2 linked regions of the Elephas maximus indicus genome follow. Each later gene encodes a partner of the first gene's protein in a complex. Links are inferred from orthologs where the notes say so. Each region holds a gene or a part of one and is shown on either strand. Other genes may lie near its edges. The genes, in order: ARPC3 and ARPC5.

What was found.
Region 2: ARPC3 (region 1) and ARPC5 share a complex: the UniProt entries of both Homo sapiens proteins name them as parts of the arp2/3 complex. The link is inferred for Elephas maximus indicus from reciprocal best matches to the Homo sapiens genes ARPC3 and ARPC5.

What each region holds. Positions count from the first base shown.
Region 1 is NC_064840.1:9,034,988-9,045,011, forward strand, and holds the start of ARPC3 (actin-related protein 2/3 complex subunit 3), read right to left. Parts: upstream 3,997-10,024; 5' UTR 3,854-3,996; coding exon 3,848-3,853; intron 1,279-3,847; coding exon 1,179-1,278; intron 1-1,178. Other genes in the region: GPN3 (GPN-loop GTPase 3), read right to left, coding at 7,347-7,409, 7,997-8,125. UniProt on the Homo sapiens protein: Component of the Arp2/3 complex, a multiprotein complex that mediates actin polymerization upon stimulation by nucleation-promoting factor (NPF).
Region 2 is NC_064842.1:47,116,119-47,126,036, reverse strand, and holds the start of ARPC5 (actin-related protein 2/3 complex subunit 5), read left to right. Parts: upstream 1-5,561; 5' UTR 5,562-5,805; coding exon 5,806-5,949; intron 5,950-8,793; coding exon 8,794-8,865; intron 8,866-9,918. UniProt on the Homo sapiens protein: Component of the Arp2/3 complex, a multiprotein complex that mediates actin polymerization upon stimulation by nucleation-promoting factor (NPF).

The sequences.
Region 1 (10,024 bases):
CTTTCTCTTTTCCAGGATCCAATTCCATTATAATTTAGCCCTTGAGCAGAGAGCATGAAGTCATTCTTTGTCTACAGAAACCACAAAGATCTGGTTTCAGAGGGTCTCATTCTCTCTTAAGGGACAAAGAACTGCAAAGGTAGTAATTAGATTTATTCTACCCTCGGTCAAGCACATCTTCGCATGTATCAGATGGTATCTGTATACTTCTTTTCAAGGAATCTGAGCCAACGCTGATTCTTAATTTTTCTCTGCACTCCAATGCGTTCATATTTTTCTCCCTTTCAGGTCGTTTTCCATCTGTTCCTTTTCCTTCATCCGGAATCAAGTAAAGACTGTGGTGACTCACCAAATTTATTAAGTTTACTGAGCAATAAACTGGTGTTGAAGAAGAATTAAATTAAGACAAGGTCATGTCAAATAGTTTGGCAGTGGAATGGAGATGGGGTCAGTAGAAAACAGGTATTATAACCGCGGTCTTGGAAACCATGAATGGAACTCAGTTCAGACCCTCCAGGGCTCTGCCCTGGGTGTAGAGAAATCCTATCTAATAAAATACAAATTATGCTATTGGCAGGACATTTCAGAATACGTCAGAAGAGTCTCAGATAGTATATGAAAAAGAATAGGGCTTTCTGAACAATAAAATCGGTTTCAAAAAGCAGAGTACCAAAAAAAGGGGGGGGAGGGGCAGAGTACCAAGAAAGAAAACAAAGACGTAATATCAAATAAAGCAAGAGTACAGATGAGTAATGTTATAAAAGGTATAAAGAGGAATGGATAAAGGGAGTAAATGTAGATAGGGAAGTCATTTTTTTTTTTTAAAGCTTGATGACGAAGAAAGGATGGGGACCTGTCATTCTACAGAGGCAGCGGCATTAGCCGGAGAGAACTGACAGTGAAGGCAGGAACAGTGGCCAGGATCAAGCACATTTCCTCTTCCCTCTCCACAAATATCCTGGAGAAATCAGCAGCAATTATACAGTTTCCTGCTAGATGCAACACATTTAACAGTGATCATGAAAGGCCTAGAACACAGCATCGCCAAGGGATAGGAAGTATAGGAGCAACGTGAGACATAGGACTGAGACGAGAACTGCCTTGATCTGATAATGTCAGAGGGTTGCCAGGCATTCTACGCCCAAATCTGAAAGGGATGGAAAAGCATTTAGACTTACTCTCTCGAGGGGCTGGTCCTTTGAACTGACTTCTGATAGGTAGCAGCGCCATGTTTCCAATGAGTTTGGTGTCAGGGTCCATGAGAGAAGAGTGGTAGGCCTGTAATGGCAAGCCAGGTAAGAATATGGAAGCAGAAAGAGTGCAAATGTCATGAGACCAGACGAAAAAAAAAGGCGACCCCATCCAAGATTAACTAGGGGAGAAAAAGAAGGCAGCAGGGGTATGCTGGAGCTGGCTCTTACCAGCTCATGAGCCAATTTTGAGGAATACTGCAAGCTGGTTGTTAAACACAGCCATTATTAAAAATTAAATTATATAAACTTACAATTAAATAAATTGTATTTAAAACAAAGGTTTTTGTAGGTTTTTAAAAAAGCTCTAAACTGATCACTTCTTAATTATTACATTTTATTATTGCTGATGCCCTCAGTTACATCTTTTGTATCTTTGTGGTATAAATACTATATACTGGGGTGCAACTGTGCATCTTCTCCCAATTCCATGTTCAGTGACATCACACTGGTGGCTGGTAAGAGTATCTACACCACAGAAATTGGCAAACACTATATGAATTAGGGGTAGTCTCCCATCGCTGCTTGTTCAATATTTGCCAGGATCCAAGTACTAGCTTTTCAGCTCTGCCACTTCCAGGCTTTATGTCATTCACCAAGATGTCACATTTCTTCTCTTAGTCTGTTTCCCAATTTGTAAAACGAGAAGAGGTATACTACGTTCAGTGGGTAACCAAACCAAACCCAGTGCCGTTGAGTTGATTCTGACTCATAGTGACCCTATAGGACAGAGTAGAACTGCCCCATAGAGTTTCCAAGGAGCGCCTGGCAGATTCGAACTGCCAACCCTTTGGTTAGCAGCCGTAGCACTTAACCACTATGCCACCAGGGTTTCCCTTCAGTGGGTAGGGGTGAGTTAAAAGAAGAAAAAGAGAGCCACATTTTTGAGAGCAGTCAGCATGCTGATTCTTTGCTTTGCTTCTAACAAGTAAGACAACATGGGCCCCATTCATGCATTCCATGAACAATTACTAAGCACCTTCTATATGCAGGAAACCCTGGTGGTGTAGTAGTGTGGCGCTACGGCTGCTGACTGAATGGTCGGCAGTTTGAATCCACCAGGCGCTCCTTGGAAACTCTATGGGGGCAGTTCTACTCTGTCCCATTGGGTTGCTATGAGTTGGCATCGACTTGTCGGCAATGGGTTTAGTTTTTTTTGGTTCTACGTGCAAGGCACGGTGATAAAAAAAAAAAAAAAAAAAAACCAAACCCACTGCTGTTGAATCGATTCCGACTCACAGCAACCCTATAGTGATACAGTGGCATACAAAACCAGTCTGGTCCCCACCCTGAGAGAGCTTTCAGGCTAATGGAGAAAACAGACGTTAAATAAGTAATCACAGGCGACGCCCACGGTACTCTGGGAGCTAATAAAGGGGGGCACGCCCCGCACGCATCGGGGATCAATAAATGGTAGCCAGACGATTCCCGGAGTTCCAGCGTGGTGCAAACGGTTAACACACTCGCTGCTAACACAAGGGCTGGAGGTTGGAGTTCACGTAAAGGCCCCTAGGAAGAAAGGCCTGGTGAACTAGTCCTGAAAAGTCAGTCATTGAAAACGCTATGAAACACAGGTCTACTCTGACACACCTGGGGTCGCCATGAGTCAGAACAGAATCGACTGGTAACCGGTTTTTGTGAGTTTTCTAAACAGGATTCATAACATATATAGCTATAATTATGGCCTGCTCCTTCTCATAATACAGAGACTTTGTCTGCCCTCCCCTTCACCAGTTACCGTCTTGTTGCCTATTTCCTTCACAGCACTTGTCACTATCTAAAATGATCTCCTTTATCTGTTTACACGTTCACCGTCTCCTCAGTAGAATAGGAGTTTGTTGGACTTACTACTGTAAGAGCGCTCAGCATGCAGTAAGTACTCAATAATGTTTGCTGTATGAATAAACACGTTACTGAGCCTCTTCTTTCCTATCTGCAAAGTGACGATCATGACGGCGATAAATTTAACCCCGTAGCCTGGCTGTCAGAAATGAAGGACAACCAGACCTTCATCAATTTTTACTCCCATTTCGAAGCTCAGGAAAACGGAAGCATTTGTAAATCAGGCGCCGGCCTTGAGCGGGTTCTGGGGGGTGGACGCCACTGCCGAGGCGACAAGGGAGGAGTCCGGGAAGTGGGGTCTGAAAGATGACAGGCAGCGAGAGGGACCGCCCCCAGGCCGAGGAGGAAGTGGGCCTGACAAGGAAAAAGGAGAAGCCGGTCCCTGGACTTGAAAAAACGAAAAGTAAAAAGCCCAGCCCTTGGCTACGGCTCCAGCGAGCCTTTAGGGACTCTGCCGGGCTTGGGGGCAGAGCCGAAGGGGCGAGAAGGGGGTCAGGATTGGAGCGAAGGGGCGGGAAGTGCTGGGGCGGCCTCCCCGCACGCCCGGGACTCTGGCCCACTCCTCCTGGCTCCCGCATCCCACACCCCGGCCGCCCCGAAGCCGGCACCGAGGCCTCCACTCCTCGCCTCCGCTCTCCCCCAGGCCCCCGCTTCCTCTCCGCCCTCCTCGGCCCGCTCCTCTCTGCGCGCACAAGACCGCTCACCGCTCCCCCCAACCCCCGCCGTCTCCCCACACCCCTGGCCCGGCCCCTCACCGGCATCTTCGCGGCGCCCGAGTTTGGACCCAACTGTGCACTATCTGCTGGAGCGCCGCGCTTCCGGCCTGGCTGCCCGGGCGGGGTAGGCGGAAGTGAGCCGGAAGGGGAGGGCGAGGCGCTTCCGGCGTTCTGTCCCGCAGATGGCTGTTGCGGCTGCGGGGAGCCGAAGGGACGCCAGGGGGCGCCCGAGCACTAGACAGGGACTCCGTTGTGCGTGCATAAGGCGCGCACGAAAGGTAGTTGGGTCTTAAGGTTACAGGATCTCGGTGATCAATGACCTGCTGTTTTTGCTCAAATACCATCTTTTCAGTGAAACCTCCCCCGGCCGCCCTATTTTAAATTCAATCCCAGTCCAACCCCGCCTTACCTGTCCTTCTTTCCCACCTTTTCTCATAAAAAAAAATACTCCTCGTATATTCTATTATTTAGTTTACATTCGATGTTTGTGCCACCCCACCACGGAAGCGTCAGGAAGGAGGTTTGCCCCTTCGGTTCCCTGCTTATTCCCCAGGCCCATAATACTGATGGTATATAGTAAACATCTATAAATATGTGCTGAATGAATGAGCCGAACTCTTAAAAATGAGGAAACTGGAGAACAAGTGAAGGGAATCACGCATTTATTCTTTCAAGCTTGAGTGTGCACCGAGTCTGAATTCCAGCTCTAACATGTACTAGCTGCATAACTGTGGGCACGCTGCCTCTTTTTATGGAGCTCCGGTGGTGCACTGCTTAAGAGCTTGGCTCCTAACCAAAAGGTTGACAGTTCTAATCCACCAGCTGCTCCTTGGAAACCCTACACGGCACCTCAACTCTGTCCTATAGGAGTCACTGAGTCAGAATCAATGTGACCGCAACACCTTTGGTTTGGTTTAACCTCTTTGTGCCTCAATTTCCTCAACTGAAAATGGAAATAACAGTACCTACCGTGCTTTCTGACAATTAAATGAATTACATGCAAAATACTTTGAACTTGCATGGCTGGAACATATGAATAGTGCAGTAGTTTTTAGTCCTTTCCTAGAAAGGACCTCACGTAAGCCAAGTTCCTTCCTGCCTTGGAGCCTTTTCTTCTGGCAGCCTTTCAAACTGGAACACTCTACTTGCCACATGTTCCTACAGCTGACTTCTCATCTAGGTCTCTGGCCAAACTGCGCCTTATTAGACTTCTAGTGCTGCTGTAACAAAGTATCACAAAGTGAGTGGCTCAGAATCAACAATTTATTCCCTCACAGTTCTGGAGGTTATAAATTGGAATTCAGGGTGTCAGCAGCACCACACTCTGTTCGAAGGTTCCAGGGGAAGATCCTTTGTCTCTCCCAGTTTCTGGTAGCCCCTAGCATTCTGCTTACAACTGTAGCACAAGTCCGATTTCTGCATCCATGACCACATGGCATTCTGCCCTGTGTCTGTCTCTTCTCTTTTGTAAGGACATCACTCATATTGGATTAGGGCCCACCCTACTCCAGGATGCCCTCATATTAATTCATAACGTCTTCAAAGACCCTATTTCCAAGTGACAAAGGTACCAGGGCTTAGAACTTCAAGCTAGCTAGCTCTTTGGGGGACACAATTCAATCCCTAACAGCAGCTTTTCGAAGGGGTCTACATAATTCAGTGTAGCAAGAATTAAAAAGAAAAAAGTTACATCTTTCAAAATTTTAGTATTTGTTATTATTCAAGGCAAGTACAAAATTTTAAATGCTCAGGCTACAAACTTTGTTTAAAAAAAGAAAAATCACTGCCTGCATTTTGACAAAAGGGTGAAACCTACTCATTCAAAAATGTGCCCTGACTGCTCCAAATTCTGACTGGAAAACAAGAGTGTAATGAAGGGCTAGTGCTACCTTTTTGTTTCTTTTGTGTGTGTGGGTGCATACATTTTTAAATAGTTATTTAAATTTTTTAACTACAGGTAGTCCTTGACTCAAGGCGAGTCCATCGGAAGTCAATTCTGATGTAACTCCAATACCTCTTTTTTTTTTTTTTAAGTTTTCATTATTATTGTCTTTTATTGTCAGTATCTTTATAAATCTGACCTTTGAACATCTGCGAGTGAACTTCTGAGGATGAGAGCACCAGCCAATTATACACTGCAACAGTGTATGCAGTACATGGTACCAGTGATAAAAATGTGATAGGACACACAAAAAAACCAGACTGTCACAAGTATAGTTTGTCCTAACTCCAGCATGTTTTAAGAATCGGGGACTACCTATGTACAAATAAAACATTCTCAATGCAGAAAAACTGAAGATACAGAGAAGCAAAGCCTTATCTATATCCTTCTAGATTTCTTCATTTGGACATAGATTTCTTCATTTGGACATATATACATGTGTATATTTTGTTACAGTAATTCTCGCTGCCCCCAAAACCCTCAAAAATGAAACCAAACAGTAAAAATGTTAGTCTGGTCTTAAATGTAGTCCAGGTGCTAATTTATGTTATATACAAATCTATGTACACTCTTTTCAACTTTTAAAACCTAAACTGATGGAATTAAAACACCACCAAATGATTCCACTTTAAACAGCAGCAGAATAACTCAGAACATGATTCAGGCATCTGCGGACAAAGAGCCAATTACAGTCACGTGTTGCTTAACAACCATGATACATTCTGTGAAATAGGCTGTTATGCGACTTGGATGCTGTGTGAACACCGCATTACACACAGACAGGCCCTGGATTATGGGCCCCAGCCCGCCCACTGTTCCATCGCCTGAGCAGTAGCAGCCCAGGCCCAGCAGCCTCTGCCGCCACCTACCCACGAGACTTGCCTGAAAACTGTATTCACTGGATACAGGAGGCCGGCCCTGCCAGGTATGTGGCTGTGGGCTGGCCTGGGGCTGTACCAGCAGCCAGATTGGGACTTTGAGCACGTTCAGGTGCGGGGTGGGGACAGGGTGTGTAGATGCCACGGAGCATGACTGGTGGTGGCGGCTCTGGCTGCCACTGCTGTTTTGGTGAGGCCGCTTCCTGATCACGTGCAGCCACCTGGAGCCAGGAGCCTGCAAGCACTCCAGACCCCGCCAGCCACCCGCCAGCACCGCGGCAGGAGCTGTGGCAGGCACTGCCCTGTACCTGGAGTGAATGGACGCACAGCTGCTGGACGGGTAAACGAAGCCAGGAGGAGAGGAAGGAGAGGAGGAGACGGAAGACGAGGTGCTGCAGGGGTTGGGATGCGCCCTGGAACCCCACTGCTCATTCACTCTGGGGGTTTGGGGTCTTTAAAGCCATTACAACAAATAAAGTAACAAACAAAAGGAGAGCAGCTTCCCCTTTCAAAAAAAACCCCAACAACAATCTTACATGACCATGGACATATATGCAGTTGGATGTTGCCCGAATGGATGTTACGTGGTACATGACGGTAGTATTTTTTTCCATTAGAGTACGTAGCTTTCTACTACTGCATCCTCTAAAGAGAAGAATGTCTTGTGGGTTCAGCCAGAAGCTCTTCACGTGTACACAGTTAATTTTCAGTAAAATCTTCACTCATTCTGGCGTTCTCGAAAATATTCATCGAACATAGAAGATGACTCCTCTTCATGTTCCTGACCCAAGGGAAACAAAACAGAACACGCATTTCATTTCCTCTCAGGTAGACCTGGTATGTATCTACATATTTTCCCACTGATACTCTCTAATGAGCTAACACCCAACAGCAGCTCTGGGTGTTGCTTACAGGTAACGGCCAAGAGTAACAAAAGGCATGATTGGTAGGATTTTTCCAGGTATGTGGTAAATTAAAGCGCTTATCTGTCATTAGAAGCAGTTCTCCCTTGAGTTTACAGTCACTCACACTGATTCTCAGGTAACAGCCTGACTACCATCAGTCTTTCCACTGATGTATGAGAGGGCAGCCCAAGCTCAACAGCATAGCTTCTTGTCTTTGCAAAACCCCCCAAGCTCCGATTACAAGGAGACTTAGCTGAATCGTGTTGTCTCAACAAAAGGGGGAATAAAGCTGATCTGACTGCTGAGCACAGGTGTGAATTTCAGAGCTCACCTAGGAAAGCCCGGGGCACCGCCACCTCTCAGACAAAAATTAATCTGAGTTGCCTGAGTTTTGCAGGAGGCCAGTGAGTGTCAGGAACCATTGCCACCAAAAGCCATCCAACAGCCCAAGCTTGGAAATTACCTTTGGTTCTTTAAATTCCAAGTCTTCTCCATACTGAATGGCAAAATCAATATGCTGTAATACAACGTTCATGCTTTCTTCATCTGACTGGTCGTAAGGTAAGAACCGCACCATGCTGTAGTCATCGATCTGCAAGTTGGGGAGTTCAGAAAGATCCACTCTGAAGCTGTGCAAGATACATCATTTTCAACCTACATTTGAGCTCTATAACCTTTTGTATTTCCAATTACAAATGTGGGAGGGGGAGGGGAGAGGCAAAGGAGACAGCTGGAAAGGGAACATCAGCAAATCATTATTGATTTTTCTGACCTCTGACCTACTAGAACACTGTTAGCTTATTACTTAACTGGACACTTGCTGCTTCATGGGTATTTATCTGATTTCCCCAACTAAGGGAAATTTCAAAAGGGCATGAACAATTCTAAGATCCCCATATGGCCTGGAATACTAGACATATCAGTTAATTTATTGGCCATTGCCAATAACTACTTCTGGATTAAGCCACTGCCCAGGCAGCCTGCAGTGCCCCACCAATCTCAGTGGGTTGCCTGTGCTTTTCCTAAGAGCGGCCATGGGCTGGATGAGGGTAAACATTTGACCTGGGGTTACAATCCACAGATTTGTCAGCAAATTTGACGCCTACGGCTTTGACCAAAGAAAGCCTGTTTGAGCCCATCAGAGGTGTACTCTCCCTAGAGTTTGACCTGAGAGAGAAAGAGAAAGCAGCCAAATGGTATTGGACACTAGCGACATGAAGTTATGCAACAGCTGCAGTTGTCTCCACAATGACTCAGAAGTTGTTTGAGGACATGACCGAACAGGTGTCTTGAGCAGGGACATACAGACGTATGCTGAGAAATTGAGAAGGCGGCCTACGTTTCTGACCTGATGTTCCCACCTTGATTTCCCAGAAGGCTCGACTGTGCTCTCTGCCCTTCTGTTCTGTGAAAATCTCTGTATCATGATATTGCCACATTCCCCACTTTATCCTCACCCCCCGCTCTACCAAGAAACCAGGAAAATGTCAACATTCAGCACCGGTCACACTAGACACGAAACCTACGTGTTAATAGTATGCTGTGTAACTCCTTTAGAGATCAGACATAAATATTTAAGATTGTTGCAGAGGCTCACGTAGGCGGCACATGGCAGCTCCAGTTACTGTTACTGTGGAAATTCTGGTCAATGTGCTTTTCTCTCAACCAGTCCGGAGTCCAGAGTCCTGGCTCTGTGTCAGTCAGGAGCCCTTCCCCGAGCCTGTCTGTGGTCATAGGCATTCGATGCTCCGACTAGCTGGCCTTAGCCCGTGCCTGTCCCTGGAATGCGGAAGCCAGCACCACTTAAACCTCAAGACTAAGAATTGTGGGAGGGGGTGTTTCCCCAGGGGGAAACACAGGACTGTTCCAAGTAGCAGGACGAAGGGGCTGCCAGGTAGCTGTGTTCGCTACTGTTGCCCCACCAAACAAAAAAAAACGAACCCGTTGTTGTCAATTCCGACTCAGAGCAACCGTAAAGGACAGAGCAGAACTGTCCCACAGGATTTTCAAGGGTATAAATTTTACAGAAGCAGACTGCTACATCTTTCTCCCACGGAGTGGCTGGTGGGTCCCAACCACTGACCTTTCAGTTAGCAGCTGAGTGCTTAACCACTGCTCCACCAAGGCTCCTTGTTGCCCCGTCAGACATTATCAAAACCTTATTAGGGAAAGACCGACTCTGACCATGTAGTCCATTTTCTAAAATAAAAAACCAAACCAGCTGCCATCAAGTTGATTCTGACTCACAGCAACCCCACGTGGGTCAGAGTAGAACTGTGCTCCATAGGGTTTCCAATGGCTGATTTTCTGGAAGCAGATCACCGGGCCTTTCTTCTGAGGCACCTCTGGGTAGACTCAAGCCTCCAACCTTCCAGTTATCAGCCCAATGCATTAACCCTTTACACCACCCAGAGACTCTATAAGCATCTGAGGACAGTTAAAAATCCTGGTGTTCATTTTCTCAACTATTACAAAATCATAAACTGAGCTA
Region 2 (9,918 bases), on another chromosome or scaffold:
TAAAAACATAGATTCCGAACCATATAAATGAAATATAAGCTAATCAAATCCAGGAAGGAATTAAAAGAATAACATTCAAAAACCAAATAGAGTGTATGCTAGGAATGTGGGAATGTTTCAATGTAGAAAACTATATAATTCATTACATTAATAAATTTAAAGTTTAAAATGATATGACTTTTACCATTAGATACTCACAAAGGCATTTGATAAATTAAGCAGTCATTCCTAAAGATCACAAAGCAATAATAAATATAATATCAACTAGTGAAATACCAAAGATATTTCCATTGAAACAGGAACAAAGCATGGAAGCCTACTTTCACCCAATTTCTCAATACCGTTTTCAAGATTCTACTTAATGTAATAAGAAAAATAAATGAATATAAATATTAGAAAGGAAAATGTAAATTATCATTATTTCAAATAGTTTGATATAACCTTAAAGCAACTATTATTAATAAGCGATCCCAGTAATGGGAAAGAATAAAGGATAAATAAATATTTTTTAAATCAATAGGTTCCCTTTAAATCATCATAAACTAAACCAAAACCCATTGCCGTCAAGTCAATTTCAACTCATAGTGACCCTATAAAAAGACCCTATAGGAGAGAGTAAAACCGCCCTGTGGAGTTTCCAAAGGCTGCTAGTGGATTCAAACTGCCAACCTTTTGCTTAGCAGCTGAGCTTTTAACCATTACGCCACCAGGGCTCCTTATATCCTCATAAACAAAACCAAAAAACCCACTGCCATCAAGTCGATTCCAACTCATAGCAAACCTATAGAACAGAGTAGAACTGCCCGATAGAGTTTCCAAGGAGTGCCTGGCAGATTCAAATTGCTGACCTTTTGGTTAGCAGCCTTAGCTCTTAACCACTATGCCACCAGAGTTTCCTATATCCTCAGGGAATATAAAATTAAATGGAAAAAAAGGCTCATTTACAACAATGTTTCAAAAACAATGTTCACTCTTTCATTCAGCACTATTTATCCTGAGACAAGAGTACGATTTATAGTTTTTTAAATCTTTGCGAAGTATTATTATCTAATTAAAGGCCCTACTGAAAAATATTTCACCCTATCTATTTCAGTGAGTAATCATAAACTTATGTAACGCTAAAAATAATAAGAAAAAACTTGAAATTTTGAAGGTTGGTTGTTTCAGCACAGAAACAGTTGATTTGAGCATGAAGTAGGAGTAAATTAAACCATTATACAGTTTATGGGTAATACGATAAGGATCTTTATATTACAGAAATGTCAATAGGGAATAATGATATTAAATCATCATTACCAGAGCTGAGTTTTACCTTTATTTTATATGTATAATATACATTTGACATATTTGATTAAAATGGAGTATATTTTCATTTCCAATAATAAAATAATAGTGCCATGCTTGCAGGGTTCAATGTCTTGGTTTGTTTTTTTAAGTACTTAGTGGCAATTCTGGGGGAAAACGCACATAGTAGGAGAGTACTTGGTTTTTAAAATGTGAAAAGAAAGACCTATTATAATTTTATCAAAATCCCTTTTAATTAAAAGGATCCTTGTTCTTTGCATCATCACACAAAAAGGAGCTACATGCCAGCATGTAGCATAAACCTTGAGAAAACTCAGATTCAATCTTGCTTTCCTATTGGGCCAACCAGGTTATTTTGCACAATAAAATGTCTTCAGTACACAATGCTGGGGGAAGCCAGCACAACTTGTATGAGGCAAGATCATGTAAGCTCCACAGACACATCAAAACTCCCTGAGGGACCGAATTACTAGGTCGAGGGCTGTTCGGACCACAGTCTTGGGGAACATCTAGCTCAACTGGCATAACATAGTTTATAAAGAAAATGTTCTACATTCTACTTTAGTGAGTGGCGTCTGAGGTCTTAAAAGCTTGTCAGCGACCATCTAAGATACACCACTAGTCTCACTCCATTGGGAGCAAGGGAGAATGAAGAAAACTAAAGACACAGGGAAAGATTAGTCCAAAGGACTAATGGACCACAACTACCACAGCCTCTACCAGGCTGAGCCCAGTATAACTAGATGGTGCCCGGCTACCACCGCTGACTGCTCTGACAGAGATCACAATAGGGGATCCTGGATAGAGCTGTACAAAAATGTAGAACAAAATTCTAACTCACAAAAAAAAGATCAGACTTACTGGCCTGACAAAGACTGGAGAAACCCTGAGAGCAGGGCTCCCGGACACCCTTTTAACTCAGTACTGAAGTCACTTCTGAGGTTCACCCTTCAGCCAAAGATTAGACAGGCCCATAAAACAAACAAGACCAAAGCGGCACACCAGCCCAGGGGCAAGGACTGGAAGGCAAGAGGGGACAGGAGAGCTGGGAATAGGGAGTCCAAAGTCTAGAAGGGAGAGTGTTGACACGTCATGGGGTTGGTAAGTAATGTCACAAAACAATATGTGTACTAACGGTTTAAAGAGAAACTAGTTTGTTCTGTAAACCTTCATCTAAAGCACAAAAAAGAAAAAGTCTTAAAACCTTATGAATAGTTTATGTCAGGGTAAGTACTCATTTAAAATACTAAAATAGGCAGAATCCTAGTACCTAAAATGAATTAACTATTATGGTTAACATTAAGTAACTGAGATAATAATTTTTTAATTAAAAGATAATTAAGAATGAGTTTCTTCCCCCAAAACAGTTTCCCTAAAGCTGTATAACTATTTAACTATTAGCTAGCGGAGCATAGGGAGCAATATTAACGTATCCATTCAAAAATACTCAGTCTCTAAATGCGATCCCTAAAGTTACTTGTCAGATCATAAATTTACTTGATAGAAATTTATTGAGTGCCTGATACACTAGGCACTTAGATCATTGTGAGACAATAAAAAATACTGCATTGGAAAAAGACCTTTTGACATCTGAAATGTAATACACATTTTGGGGCTGAGAATTAATTACATTTAAGACATTCAACACATTCTGAGCAATCAAAACAATTACACCCATGAGCATCCCCAATTTTTTAAAGTCTTCTCACTATTCTCTTAAATTGATTTCTATCAAGGGAGTCTTTCCCAGTTCTAAAATAAGACAAAAAGAAATTTCCTAGATAAGAATACAAAAGAATAGAAACGTAAGAAAAGGAATGAGTTAGGTCTTGAATCTTTGTTCCCATTTGTTCAACAGTGCTTTTAATGCGCAATTTTCTCTTTAAGAAAAATCTTGATTTAAAAGAACAAAAAGTACAGTCTTTAGCATCTCAAGAAGAATATTGTTTAGCTCATACTAAAGTTAGCAAAAGACTGAAACTGAGAAAAAATATTTAAATACATCTACATTCTAAGTTATATAATGCCATTCAACATAGTAATAACCTGATACTTTGAAATATGACATTTTAAAATAAATATTACCAACAGCTAGAAAATTTTCCTTTGCTGTTTTAAGAGAATTCTAGGGGAGTTTGTAATTTGAATGTCAATTTAAGGAAATGTCGCTTTTATCATCTAAATTCTGTCTTCTAGAATGGGCATTTTATTGGGAAAAGAAAAAAGCCACATTGCTTTTTCCTCCCAAGGAAAAAGGATGCATTCCATTCTTGAGGAGTGTCTGTCTGTCTCTCCCTCTTTCTCTCTCTCCTGTCCTCCCTTGTCCTTTCTCTCTCTGTATATATATATGACATAAGGTTTAATTTGACATCTTTCTCTTCTTACTTATTCATTATTCTCAGTGTGATCCTCAACCTGTACTGCCTTTCACACTTCATCCATTCATCAAACATTTATTCAGTACCTTCTGCAGGTAAAGGAAGATGCAAAATAAATATAAGACAGGTCTCTGTCATCCAGAATCTTGCAATCTCTCCGAAGAGCAAGATAAAACATGATATATCATTAAGTAAGCTAGAAGGCTAATGCCAAAGCCAATGGTACAGGTAATAAGCATTTTACATATATGTACAATTTTAGAGCTTCAAAACACTTTTGTGTATTTAAACCTCAGAACAATCTAGTGAAGTAATCATTACTATCCCCATTTTTGCGATAAAGAACCTGAGATTCAGAATTTTAAGTGGCATGCCTCAACCAAACAGATGATGAGTGAAAGAACCAAGACTCAAGCCAGGGTCTTCTGATTCTAAGCCCAGGACTCTTTTCAATACACCACAGGAAAACAAGGATTGGAGTACTCAACAGGGGCAACAGCCAGCCTTCTCCCAGAGGTGGAACTAAACTGGACTCATAGGATGGCAGGAAAATATGAAACCACCTGGGCAATGTCCAACGAAATGTCCAAATTAATTGTATTCTGCAAATATTTGGGCTTATCATTAATTTGTACTTCAGTGTAATACACAGCACAACTACCATGTCCTTAGTGGCTTTACCTCTTATGCTCTCAGATACTAGGATGTCAAATATAATTAAGAAGCTGGTCTAGTGGAGTCATGTAATTCATAAATACAAATCTTAAAGACTGGTTTCTACTAATCCATAAACATTTGGTTTTCCTTCAGCACCAGAGCCTACCTCGCCCCACCTTTCTCTAGCATTCTTGCTCCAACCACTTATTTTAAGATATCAATGATGAATGATCCTACCCCAAATTCTACACGTTCACCCCAGTTTTGCCACCTGACTCCAGCCCTGCCCAGACATCTTCCCCTCCCTCCCGATAGATATGATACCGAGTTTAGGTTCTGCAGGTCCCGTCACGATGCTGTCACCAGCACTGAGAGATAAGATATGACCTTTTGACTCCGTCCTTGGAAGCCTCTGACTGGCCCTGCAGCGTAGTTCTACCCTCGGGGAAAGGGCTCCCAGCTGGGGAATGCACCCCGGGTGGAGCGCGTTCCGAAGCGATGTCTTCGACAACTAGCACGATGCTGGGCACACGGGAGTGCACCACTCCGCCCCATACTCCTGCCAGCTGCAGGGGGCTGGGTCCGGCAACCAGTCCATCCCACCGCACTGGCAAGTCGGGGCCAGCCGGACCTTACGCAGGACTCCAATGACTGCTCAGCGGCGGCGGTAGCGGCAGCAAAAGCCAAAGCCACCCGCCCCCGGTGCCCATAGCCGCCAACCTAGGACCCCCCCGCCACCAGGCTGGACCGCAGAGAAGCGTTTCTATGGGAACCCCCTGGGCACCACGTGATGCACTCGGGCGACCAATCGCCGCTCCCCTCTGTCCGCGGTACGGCTTTCCGCCTTCCCTCTTATCCCGCCCCCGCCCCTTCTCCTGGCCCCACCCCTTTCCTGCAGAGAGTCCGCGTCTGCGCGTGGGGTCCTGCGCGCTCCCTCCCTGGCGCGCCCCTTCCCTGGCGCTTGCTCCCTCCGGCGCGCCCGCTCCCTCCCTGGCGCCCGCTCCCTCCCTGGCGCGCGCTCCCTCCCTGGCGCCCGCGCACCCGCTCCCTCCCTGGCGCGCGCTCCCTCCCGCGCGCCTGCTCCCTCCCGCGCGCCTGCTCCCTCCTTCGCCCGCTCCCTCCCGCGCGCGCTCCCTCCCTGGCGCCCGCTCCCTCCCTGGCGCGCGCTCCCTCCCGCGCGCCCGCTCCCTCCTTCGCCCGCTCCCTCCCCGGCGCCCGCTCCTTCTCCGGCGCGCGCTCCCCGGGAGCGCGGGGGCGGCGTGGGAGGCTAGAGTAGGGCCTGAGGCCGAGGAGGCAGGAGCGGGGCCGGCGCGCAGGCTCAGAACCGGCTGAGCCGCTTCTGCCGGCGACGCCCCTGAGCGGAAGAGGGAAGTGGAGGCGCCAGCCTGCGGGTTCCTGCTGGACTGGGGTTGCTGTAGTAAAGGTAGCACCGAGGGGAGGCCTTTGCCACCGGTGGGGTTTGGGGATGTCGAAGAACACGGTGTCGTCGGCCCGGTTCCGGAAGGTGGACGTGGATGAGTACGACGAGAACAAGTTCGTGGACGAGGAGGACGGGGGCGACGGCCAAGCCGGGCCCGACGAGGGCGAGGTGGACTCCTGCCTGCGACAATATCCTTGCGCTGGCTCCTCCGCCCCCGGCCCCTCTCCCCGGACCCCGCCGCCCTGCAGAGTCCGAGGACCACGGTCTCCTCGCGGGGACGGGCGCGGAGCTGCCGCCTGCGGCCCGCGGTGAGCCTGTCCCATTGGGGTCCCCCACTCTGAGACTCAGAGAGAGGCTCTCCCGGTTCTAACCGAGCCGCCTCGGGACTGCAGGCTCCCGCCCTCGGCGACCTGCCCTTGGCGCGGCGCCTCCCACGCCCCGGTTCCTCAGGTGGCGCGCAGAGTGCCTGCCCCCGGGAGCCCGCTCTGCTGGCCGCGCCCTCGAGGCGCTGGGGCGGCATCTGGCGCTGGGTAGTGCCGCGGCAGGTCAGCTGTTCCTCCCCAGAATGGCGCTTCTGGGTCACGTTAGCCAGAAAGTGCTGATGGCCGGTGTCTGTAGGGGTTTGGGTGGGGAGAAAGGGTGGTAGTGGTTTGTTGGTTTGTTGATTTGTTTCGGGTAACGTTAGCCTAGTTTATTATTTCCGGGAGGATTGGGGTGGTTGGCAGAATTGAAGCCCTGTGTCTTTTCAGCCTGTGAACTTTTTTCTTTTCTTCCGTTTTTTTAAAACGAGAAAAAAACTGGCAAAATACAGGTTGCACAGAATTTGTTAATCGGAGGAGGGAAGTGAGTACAAAAACCTCAAAACTCCCAGAAAGGAAGCTTGAAGCCCTTTACTTGCTAAAAGGACAATACAAAGAAAACGGGGAATGCATGTGCAGAATCCCAAGAAGTACTTCAAATAAACCCCAATAAATAGAAGATAAGTCGTTTGTGTAAAGCAGAATCGCTTTTGTAATCCTGAAATTGTTTCCATTTTAAAGCGTAGCTGTCAGTTCCTGGTTTTGATTTTTGCATGTTTGAATATTCATAACTTGTAATTAACACTTGCATCAGATCTTTTTAGAAAAATGTAGATGTTGCAGTAACAGAAGGTGTAGTTTTAGAGGTTCTCAATGACTGAACTTAATGCTTTTCGAATTTTTCTTGAGCGTATGGGTAAGATAAAGAAAGCTTTTTATACCCTTTCCTCACGATGTCCCATTAAACTTTAAAGGAGAAAATGTATGAATGAAAGTATTTGGTAACAACTGTATCCAGTCTTGGAAACCCTGGTGGCGTAGTGGTCACAGAGTTCTAGTGGTCACAGAGTTCGGCTGCTAACCAAAAGGTCCGCAGTTCGAATTCACCGGGCGCTCCTTGGAAACTGGGGGGCAGCCTACTCTGTCCTATAGAGTCACTATGAATCAGAATCGACTCCAGGGCAACGGGGTTGGTTGTTACTTTTTTTAGTTTTGGTGTATAAAGGCACCTAAAATGCCGCACTTAACATTCAGGAACATATGGATGTTCCATTGGTTTCTGCCCCCTTCACAATCAGCGGTTACTATTTTGCATTATTTAAATTTTGTAAAGGTTTTTGCACCTTAATGAGCCTACAAAAGGCATGCTTCTCTAGAAGTTCATGCAGCCTTGAAAATAAGTTTATACCACCAACTGTATTTGTCAGACCTTTCCCTGCAGAAGATAAGTGGTGACTATTATTCTTTTTTTAAATCATTCTTTGTGATGAATAGATATTTTGTGAGATTAACGTATTTTAGGTGATTTGTAATGACTCTTAAACGGTACCGCTGTATCAATATCAGCGGGGCCTGCTTTTGAATTAGTTCATCTTAAAACATAAAGATATTGTTTCTCCTACCCTTGTGACAACCAAGGGAGACAGCCCTGCCTGCACAGAGGGAGTCAAGCACCAGAGATGGAGGAACAAGTGAACTCTGTGTGGTTTTCCTTATAGGGGAATGACTGTACATTCTAACAGTATGATTGGCCTAGCGTTTCTCGTGTTGGCTTACTCACTGGTGCTTTCATAGAGGGACTGAGTTTAATAAATATAGTCTAAGGCGGTTTGAATAACCTTTATGAAATATGAAAGAAAATACCCAAAACAGAGAATTTAAGCTGCCACCTAAGGGTCATATGAATTATTACACTGTCTGTAATGCCTCTTCTTATCAATACTAAGAGATTATTGGTGTGGGTTTTTATCATTCAGATTACCAGGGTACCCTACCAGCATTTTCGACCAGCATTTTAATTAATACAGAATATAGTTCTAGTAAAAGTTCAGTCTTTTTTTCCCCCCTCAGTTAAAATCGTAAAAAGATGTATTTTGATTGATGACAGGCTGTTTCACTTTGGAATTTAATAATTCTAATATACCTTTTTTAATATACCTTTTAGATTTTCTTTAGTACCACTCTGGATAATGTGCATATGTGTCTCATGGGAGAGTGAAAGGCATTCATTTGACAGTTGAGAACCGAAAAAAAAAAAAACTAAACCCATTGCCATTGAGTAAATTTCAACTCGTAGTGACCCTATAGGGCGGAGTAGAACTGCCCCGTAGGGTTTCCAAGGCTGTATGAGTCTGAATCAACTCAGTGGCAATGGCTTAATCTTTACGGAAGCAGACTGCTGCGTCTTTCTCCTTGGAGCCTTAGAGCTTTCGAACCAGTGACCTTTCAGTTAGCAGCCAAGTGCTTAACCACTGTGCCACCAGGGCTCCTTGATAGTTAAGAACCAAAGGTGAAATAGTCTTAAGGCTAATGTTCTCTTTTGTTTTCAGTATTTTACCTTTGATTGACATCCTTGAAATCAATGGATTGAATTTCCAATATTGAAGAACATCGTGACTGTAGCAATTTTTTCTCTTTGTACATAAACTCAGGTCCTAAAAACCAATGGTTCTTGAAAGTTATAAAGCTTACCTGAGGGCTGCTCTTTGCTGTTATCCCCTTAACTTCCCTCACAGGAAACATGACAGCCGCCCTACAAGCAGCTTTGAAAAACCCCCCTATCAACACCAAGAGTCAGGCGGTGAAGGTGAGTCACAGACAGCAAGATGGTCCTTGCTGACATCTTTATTCATACCAAAAGCATTTGAAGTTTCACAGAATCAACAGATATTTTAATTATTCCCTCTCTTTGACATGAAAGAGCTTATAGTTTAGTTTGCTAAGTTAAAATTTATAAAAAATAACATTTGCGTTGAGTTATGACAGTGCTACATGGTATACACAGTAAGTTCAAAAAGTTCAAATGACAGAGAGGCCACTCCTGTGGGCATTTTTAGAGGAGGCCCCGCAGGTTGAATTTAAACAAAGAATAAGTAAAACATTTACAAAAATAAACACACTGTTTGCATGCTTTTAGAAGATTTATTAAAAATCAAACTAGTACTAAATATTTATTATAGAAAACAGATATGGGGGGATTAAAAAGGTACTGACCCATAATCCCACCACCCAGAGATAGCAGTTGTTACCTTTTGGTGTGGCTGTATGCTTGTAGATTTCTTTCTGGTTTTGTTTTTTTTTTTTTTTTAATGGAGTTTTACAACCTTTTTCAACTGTAGAGCGATATACATGAAGTTCTTTCCTTAGTAATAAGGAAATAATCTTTAATAATGTAATCATTTTTAATAGCTGCTTATTGATATGCTGTGGTTGATACATAACTAATCCCCTGTGGTAACACATTTAAATTATTGACCATTGTTTTCCTGTACTGTACTGAAATGAATAATTTTTTGTAAATTCTTCATTCTTTTAGATGAATTCCTTGGATCAAAAAATGTACTTTTTTTTAAGGCTTTTGTACATATGGCCAAATTGCCCATTAGAAAAGTTGCGCAATTTACATTCCCAGTAGCAGACTTCACTAATTCTAAAGAACCCTATTTACTTACTGATTTATTGTTTAAAATGAACCCCACTGTCAGTGGCTATTCATACACCCTAGGAGACTCAAGAACCTCCTTTGAAGAGTAGTAAATAATAACTTAGGGAAATGCATAATAATTAACTAGGCAACAGGGGACAATGTCTTTGGTTTCTGTAAGTTGTGGAGAACTCCATTGAAATTTCAGTTTTGCCA